2 linked regions of the Nothobranchius furzeri genome follow. The protein of the gene in region 1 interacts with the protein of each later gene in a biochemical or structural test. Links are inferred from orthologs where the notes say so. Each region holds a gene or a part of one and is shown on either strand. Other genes may lie near its edges.

Region 1 (4,114 bases):
ACCCATCGGACTTGTACTTTCAGTGTTTTTTCTGCATCAGGGAGAAAATCCACCGTCGTGTCACTTTGAAGGACCGACGGATTTCTCGCTTTTGTCACGTCCGGAAGACAAAACCTTGTTTTCCGTTGCTTTGGATGAATTTTTTCCAAGAGCCACCTGTGACCTTTATGTTTTACAGTAACTGAACTGACTTTCTGCGTTTACAGGAGCGTTTGGGACTAGTCGAGGACTCGCTTTTGGTCTTTTTTCCCACTTTTCTTTGAATGCGTTGCAGATATGATGATGTCACCGACGCCACTTTTTCCTAAAGTTATGGCGGAGCACAACTTTTTGAACTTCTCTTGGTAAGCATGTACGATCTACCGGTCCTAGCACTTCACTACTATTGATACACGCTTGAAAGCCGAACTTTTAGTGTTAAAACCGGTTCTTTTTCAGACACATTAACACAAAATACAGGTTAAACCATTAAAAACCGAGCAGAAGTTCAGTTCGCTGTTTCAGGGAGGGCCTGCTGGCTGCTTCGCTGTTTTTGGTGAAACTGTCGAGCTTTATTTAAAAACACACTCGCTGCTACCCTCAACGTATCATTTTAAAGCACGAGAAAACCCACACGAGTATCCCAAATAGCTGTTTGTCCCTTGTTTGGTTTGAATGCTACACACTAGCAGCATTCATGCTAACCTGCTACATGTCAAAATCACATATGTGGACGTTTGATGAAGCAGCCATGTCGTTGTTGTAAACTGAACTCATGCTTGGGATGAATCAAGCGTTTGCAACAAATCTCCAGCGTTTAGCCTGTCTGCAGCAGATGTGCATTAACACAAGTACAGCAGACATGATAACAACACGAGTGTCTTCAGGGTCAGCAGCCTCCTGTATAAACCTGCAGGGTGGTGGTAAACACGTGAATGTCAAGAATAAACAAAAACCTTTTGGTTGTTTACATTAAGCTCAGTAGTTTGTGATGGAAACAATCCAGGTGAGTGGGTTTATTTGATGGCCTGGCCTTTTGTTTTCAGGAAACACATTTTGCATGAAATAGTCAGTTTAGCTCAGCTCATTGTTTTCTTCTTCTGGTTTATTAGCATATATAGGCCACACGCGACTCTTTTTGCGTGTTATAAACTTCCAGCCGAGACAAAAAGACCCGCAGAAACACACAACTCTGCAGTTTGGATTAGCTCAGTGTTTCTGGCTTTTCTCAGTAATTAATATGTTTTTATGCCACAATCCCCACATGCGATCTCTATTTAAAGGTTGCTGGAGGTGAGATTAAGTTTTGAGATTAAACCTTACAGCGCTCTAACCCAAATCTCATGTTTTGCCACTTTTCCCCCCCTGGTGTTTTAATCAACCGTGTCCAGGCCAGCAGATGCTGTTTCTCATTGTCAGCATAAACATTGTGTCTGTATGCCCCAAAACATGCATTTCTGCAGCTTTTGTGTTCTAGTTAAGAGAGCCAGTAAATGAGGAATGCACCCACAGAGATGGATGAGATCCAATGTGTTCCTTTGTGATCTGCATAGATTGTTGTGAGTATTTAGTTTTACTGATGGAGCACCTTCAAGGAGCGTGGAGAACCCTGAGTAACGGCTTTGGAATGAAGGACTCTGCGTTTGAGGGTCCCTGCCTTTCCCCGACTATGGTCCAGGGCTTTCCCCACCAGCGACGCTCCTCAGATGACAGCAAGGTGCCAGACTCGAAGGCTAGTAGCACAATCCGTGTCTACCTCCCAAACCAGCAACGCACGGTGGTGAGTTAGTTCTGCATTAGGAAACGCGTTTAGAGTTTCCACATTTAACACGGCGACCTCTGAATTCAGATCATAATTATTTGTAATTTCCCGTGTGTCAGGTAAACGTGCGACCAGGTTTGACTTTGTACACGTGTCTGATTAAAGCCCTGAAGGTGCGAGGGCTGCAGCCTCAGTGCTGCGCCGTCTTCAAGCTGCACCCAGGTCAGAGAAGGTGAGTTCAGGGTTTTTGGACAATTGTAACCAGAAGTAAGAAGATCACATGCTTATGTTTCTCCCCCTTTATTTCTACGGTTTGTTTTCCAACCAGTAGAAAATCTCGGATGGACTGGAACACTGACTCCACCTCTCTAATTGGGGAAGAGCTGCTGGTCGAGGTTTTAGATCACGTTCCGCTGACGACCCATAATTTTGTAAGCACCCAAGTCCTCTGCAGCGCCCTCACCTCCGCGTCCAGCGGCTAAATCAACACGTTCAAAATGCTTTCTGTCATTTCCAGGCTCGGAAGACCTATCTTAAGCTAGCCTTCTGCGATATTTGCCAGAAGTTTCTTTTAAATGGTTTCCGCTGTCAAACATGTGGCTACAAATTCCACGAACACTGTAGCACCAAAGTGCCCACGATGTGTGTGGACTGGAGCAACATCAGACAGCTCCTGTAAGTATCTGAGAGGGGTCTCTTATTATAAAAACAACTTTTGATTAAATGGGGGAAAATGGTGACATGGTGAAGCACAACATTTTTAACAAACAAATTACAAAAAAATACACCAATTAAAATAAGCAAGTCAGCACACGCACAGTTCGTTTATCTCCCTCGGGCTTTATAATTTGATTTATATTAGAAATGAGCTCACCCAAACTTTCTGCAAAGATGAACAGTAGAAGGAAGCTCTGCTGATATCCCAGTTTGCATAGGGGTGTGCTCATTTGCATCCTGGCACTGCCAAAAAGGCCGTTTTGTTTCATTTTGCATGCAGGCTGTAGATGAACAGTAATTCTGTAAAGATTAGTGTCATTTGCACACTGCTCTGTTGTAAACACACCCTCCTCAGGACTTTAGTCTCTTGTTTCTGTCGGCAGGTTGTGTCCGGTCCCCGGGGAGAGCGGCACCCCGTCACTGCCGCCGCTCACCTCTCGACGGATGAGAGAGTCTCTGTCACGGTTTCCAAGGTGACGTTGCTTCTCTCTACTTATTCATCACAAACCCTCTGCAGAAGGATAAAACAAGGTTTTATTATGCAGGTGAAACTGGAACAATACTTCAGAATATGGTCCATTTATTTATGTAATCCAGATTAGACTGAGAGGCCATCTAAAGGCTCAGGAAAACCTTTGCAGGTGTTTCAAGTTGAATTACTGACATAAATGAACTTTTGCACTGTTATAAGTTTAATTACCTCCAGATTAACATCAAGCTGTTGTAGACTAGATTACAGATTAGATGTTATTCGGCTCACATGTGGTCAAGTTTGGACTTTTTTAGGATCATATTTTAATTGTGTTGTATGTGTTTAAAAGGCTGTCTTTGCTTCAGGGAAGCTTATCAGTGGAAGGAATGATGTAACGCCGGGTGTGAAAAACAGCCTGTTGTTTTGATGGCTGATAAAGTGGTTTAAAAAAAACACCCAGGGTTGCTAAATTGGCTGTCGCTGCAAGTTGTTCCTTGCAGAAAAATGCGAAATGCTCGACAGGAATATTAATTCCTGTTGTCTAAAGCGGGACTGCTCATGAAGAACACCAAGGCGAGGTTCTGCTCAAAAACACAAACAGCCGGTTCCTCTGCGCCGCTTCTGGACGATTTCTCTGCAGATCCGAGAGCGGCTTTGCGCTGCTGTAGGATTAGCATATCTGGCTGGAAGGTTTTGTGCTCTTTAACCGATCTGGACACAAAGCCGCTCAGCCACACACGGCTAAAGAGGAAGACCAGTAACAAATACGAGCCCACTAGCTACTTCCCTTAAACAATGTAGTTTCACTCTTTGCTGTTTACCACACAGCTAAGGCATGTAATGGCTTCTGGTGCTGAATGTGTGGCAGTAGTCCAACGTAAACAAGGGTGCTTGACTGAGGAGAGTTAATGAGGCCACCTCACCCACACCCACACCCTCACCCGAAGATGTGGCCGACAGAAGCATCCACTGCTGGTTTGGTCGTTTTTAGCTAAAGGCTCGATTGTCATCCTGTCACAGCTCAGCCCACCGAAATTCCACCCCCCACGCCTTCAACTACGCCACATCGTACCAACCCACAGGCGGCGGTCTCTCCCAACGGCAGCGCTCCACCTCCACGCCCAACGTCCACATGGTCAGCACCGCCCTGCCCGTGGACAGCACCACCATCGAGGTAACAAGTT
Region 2 (4,245 bases), on another chromosome or scaffold:
CCGATTCTAAGGCTTTGTTGCTCAAACACGAGAAAAAAAAAGCCCGAACAAGGCGAGGGTTTACAGCTCCATGTTATCTGAGAGCGAGAAGAGAAGCCACATTGTTGAGACGAGAATCAAGGAAGTGAATAAATCAGGCACGTCTGGTCCGCCGCAGCGCTAAAGCCAACACGATTATATGTGAAGGGAAGATTTAATTCTACTGTAATCATTACTGACCTTCAGAGTTTCACGCTGGCTTCTGTTTACTCGCTAATATTCAAAGACCGTCACTTTTTACGTGAAGAGGAAGAAAAGTGAAACTAACCAGATGTCGTAACGGTTTCATTCCGCCAGGGGGCGGGCATGGACGTGTGTGAAACGGTGAATAATGTAATAAAATTAAAAATTAAATTAAATTAAATCATATTGCTCTGCTTTTTATCTAGATAAAGGCACAATCTACAGATAATGTTTAACTTCCAGTCTTCCTACAGATCTTTAATTTTTTCAAAGAAACTCCTAAAATCTTCTATGTGAAATATTCCTTTAATCTAGCTAGTGAAAAGTGTGTAGAGGTTGGAGGAACATAGCTCAAAACTTTAGATTCAAACCTTTTAAATCACTTACCTGGTTCAATATTTTTAAAAGTGAAGTTAATAACCATATTGCTATTTCAGTTGGATGGAAACTTTTTATTTCACCACTAAGAAATTTGATTGAATACTTTGTGTTTAGCTCGACAACATCAGCTAATAGGTTGGTCAAATTATTGATGATCACATTTAAACAACAATGCATACTGACCAAAGATCTGGCCCAAGCCAGGACCAAACTACCAATATGAAAGAAGCGGCAATGGCCCCGTATAAAACCAACAGTATTGTGAAATCCCTTCCTAAAATCTAGAAACCAAAATAAATGACTTGCCCACAGCAAGAGTTTTTGGGTGAAATGCAAATTGATTTTGCCAGCATAATGTTATTTTTTTAATCTCATTGTCATTTACAGGTGAAACTAAAAAAATGGATATCAAGCACAAGTTCATTTAATTCAGTAATCTAACTCAACAGGAAAAACGAATGTATAAAGTAGACTCATTAAATGCAAAGCAAGATATTTCAAGCCTTTATTTGTTATCATTGTTGTGATTATGGCTTACAACTTATGAAAACCCTAAATTCAAAATCTCAGGTTCAATAGTCTTGGCTAAAAGTGTCTCACTCTAATCAGCTAATTATTTCAATATACCTGCAAAATGGTTCCAGAGTATTTAAATTGTATCTCCATCTAAGTTTAAGAACTGAAATAAACGGACTTTCTAATATTCTAATATATCCAGTTCACCTGTATTTTGTGAGTTTGAAGTGGGGAGCACTCATATGAACTACCAGTAGATGGCAGCCTTGAACGTTCTCTCAAATTGAAACGCTTGTGAACTCTCATTCAGCGAGGCAGAGTTTCGTCCAATCAGATGACTCGTTGCGGCATGCAAGCGCGCAGGCGCATTGGATTTCATGCGCTCTGTAGTGTCCGGTGGAGGTCACAGCGGAAACCGAGGTGAGTTACATGTGTTATACATTAGTTTAGAAGCGTTGATACAGTATAGAAGCGTTGATACAGTAAGAGGTATACATTTATATTTTCCTCTTTGTGCTACCAAACTATTAATGTGACAACGTGATATCTGTCTAGCGCGAGTTATCCGGCTGCATCATGTTCTTTAGAGCTAACACGCGTTTAATCACGCAGCGTGCTGTTAGTTTTATCCACATACATTTCTTTAACATATTTAAAATAACACTTCCCCTTCCGTAATCTGTCACATTAGGTGCTCGGTGTAGTCTGAACGAATTATGTGAATTTATTTTGTCTCAGATCACGGCTAGCTGCTAAGCTAACTCGTTGCTAGCTACCACTCAGCCGTGACAATCTTATCAAGGTTGTTCCTGGAGAAGAGGGATTAAAGTGGGCCTTTCAAGGATCCTTGTTTAGGCTTAAGTTGTTTATTGTACAATGAGTGAGTGAAGTCGGTGTTTTAGGTCTCAAACGCTTTTCGTTGTCTGCAGGTTGCTGTCATGGCCAAGTTATTTGAGTCCATTGGGAAGTTGGGGATTGCCCTCGCTATCGGTGGAGGTGTTGTGAACTCCGCCCTCTTTAATGGTGAGTAGTCAACACTTCCACATTAACACGAATGTTATTTAGTTTAGGATTTGATGGTTTAGTGTTTAAAAAGCAACGTGATTACTGCATGGTGTTGTTAGATCATGCAGAAATAAGATTGCATCACCATTGGCGATGAATGGTGGTCACTTGTGCTGATATCCCTGCATTCAATAAATGATAAAACTTTACAACATTTTTATTGATAAAAATCTGCATTGTTATCTGAAGGGAGAATCATATTTTGCATTTAAGTATTTTGTGACAAAGGTTTGAAAATATGCACGCTACAGTAAGTTGACTCTGTCTGCAGTTGACGCAGGGCACCAGGCTGTCATATTTGACAGGTTCCGGGGTGTTCAAGACGCAGTCGTTGGTGAAGGAACCCACTTCCTCATCCCCTGGGTTCAGAAGCCTATTATCTTTGATTGCAGATCCCGTCCACGCAATGTACCTGTCATCACAGGCAGCAAAGGTACCTCTTAAAGCACTTGTGGGCTCTGCCCTTGAGCTTGTTTGCCAAGCAGTGTCTGGTTATGACCTCTTTTTGGCTCCATTACTGGATATCTTTTAAAATAAACTATTCAAATTTTTTGTATGATTTTTTTGAGCCTTTAAAAATACCATTCAATAGGGGTGTCCTGGTTGTAAATATTTTGTCCCTGATACCAACCTGAGTTGATTAAGTATATGCCTAAATCAGGGATAACGAATCCTGGGCCTCAAGGTCTGCTGTCTGGCGTGTTTTAGTTGTTTCTCTGCTCCAATATGCCAGATTCAATGGCTGAGTCACCTTTACAGCAGCTCATGAAGCTCTGCAGAAGCCTGTCAGTCACCCACTGATTAAAATCAGGTGTGTTGAAGCAGTGATACAACTAAAAACATGCTGGATAAACAGACCTCTGGGACAGCATTGGTTATCCCTGGCCTATAAAGCCTAGTTTATACTTCTGTAAGCAAGTTTGCACTTGCGCTCGCTCAGACAGACATTTTCCTTTTGTACTTCTCTGTTGGTGTCAGTGTTGTCAAGCAATTCTTCTCCAGAACAGCAGAGGGCGTAGCGCTTTTCTGGGGTATCCTGCCATCATTGGAGTTGCGGTTTTAGTATGTTGACGTTGTGTTTATGTATTTCAGGAACTTTTTTAAAAGTTGATGTTAGTGCAGGGAAACCGTGTATAAAAACAAGGGTTGGCTTTTTACTAAACACTTCTGATCTGTACTTTTGTGTAACGTTTACTGTGAGAAAGCAACTGAATAATCCAGCATTATTTGTCAGGTTCTCACCCATGTTTGCTAGATGATGGGTGAATTTAGAACATACAAACCCACTAACTCCAGGAAGCTTCTTTTGGAACTCCAGGAAGCATATTATTCACCTTGAATTGGAGTAGGGCAAGGTGATGAATCAGTATTTAAAAAATATCAATTTCAAACAAGAAACAAGATGATTCTGTATTGTTTATATCGATATAAATCTAAAATCAGTGTGTTTCTAGAGTTGGCAGGCTCAGCCCTCTGCTAGCTTGCTCCATTTCTAAGTGGCCATTTCATGCATCATCAGGAAACCTCTAGGTCAATATCCTGCCCTAATCATTGCATTTGGCTTTGTGGTTAGGGCTGCTCGATTATGGCAAAAATAATAATCACGATTATGGTGACTGAAATTGAGATCACGATTATTTAGGACAATTTTTCAATTTATGTTGATTTTATTTGTTTTTATTCAGTCATAAAATTGCTCAGGGCACAATCAGGACAAAAATAAGAAACAAGATGATCACTAAAATAACTCCTGATTCCCAGTATAAAAAGACCAATATACTTACAGCTCATAGTTTATGACCCAAGGGCTCTAGACCTTGGTTTAACTCATTTAAGTCTAACCAGTACAGACCCAAATACCAATATCTTGCATATACTGACAGCAAGAATTATACAGTGGCATTTATAACAAATAAATGCAAATAAATTGATGTTCACAAAATGTTACATAATATGTATTTAGTCGTGTCAAGGTGCTGTAGGAGAGTGCTCTAGCACCGTGTCCTCAGAGAGATTAGTTATTATTTATCAGCGTGAGGAACTTATTTCTACCTTATTGAT

What was found.
Region 2: the proteins of raf1a (region 1) and phb form a complex in vitro, tested with the Homo sapiens proteins (2 studies listed by BioGRID). The link is inferred for Nothobranchius furzeri from reciprocal best matches to the Homo sapiens genes RAF1 and PHB1.

What each region holds. Positions count from the first base shown.
Region 1 is NC_091755.1:58,343,069-58,347,182, forward strand, and holds the start of raf1a (raf-1 proto-oncogene, serine/threonine kinase a), read left to right. Parts: upstream 1-1,276; 5' UTR 1,277-1,507; coding exon 1,508-1,759; intron 1,760-1,860; coding exon 1,861-1,973; intron 1,974-2,069; coding exon 2,070-2,172; intron 2,173-2,258; coding exon 2,259-2,416; intron 2,417-2,841; coding exon 2,842-2,931; intron 2,932-3,950; coding exon 3,951-4,104; intron 4,105-4,114. UniProt on the Homo sapiens protein: Serine/threonine-protein kinase that acts as a regulatory link between the membrane-associated Ras GTPases and the MAPK/ERK cascade, and this critical regulatory link functions as a switch determining cell fate decisions including proliferation, differentiation, apoptosis, survival and oncogenic transformation.
Region 2 is NC_091745.1:13,725,541-13,729,785, reverse strand, and holds the start of phb (prohibitin 1), read left to right. Parts: upstream 1-1,411; 5' UTR 1,412-1,539; intron 1,540-2,048; 5' UTR 2,049-2,057; coding exon 2,058-2,142; intron 2,143-2,455; coding exon 2,456-2,617; intron 2,618-4,245.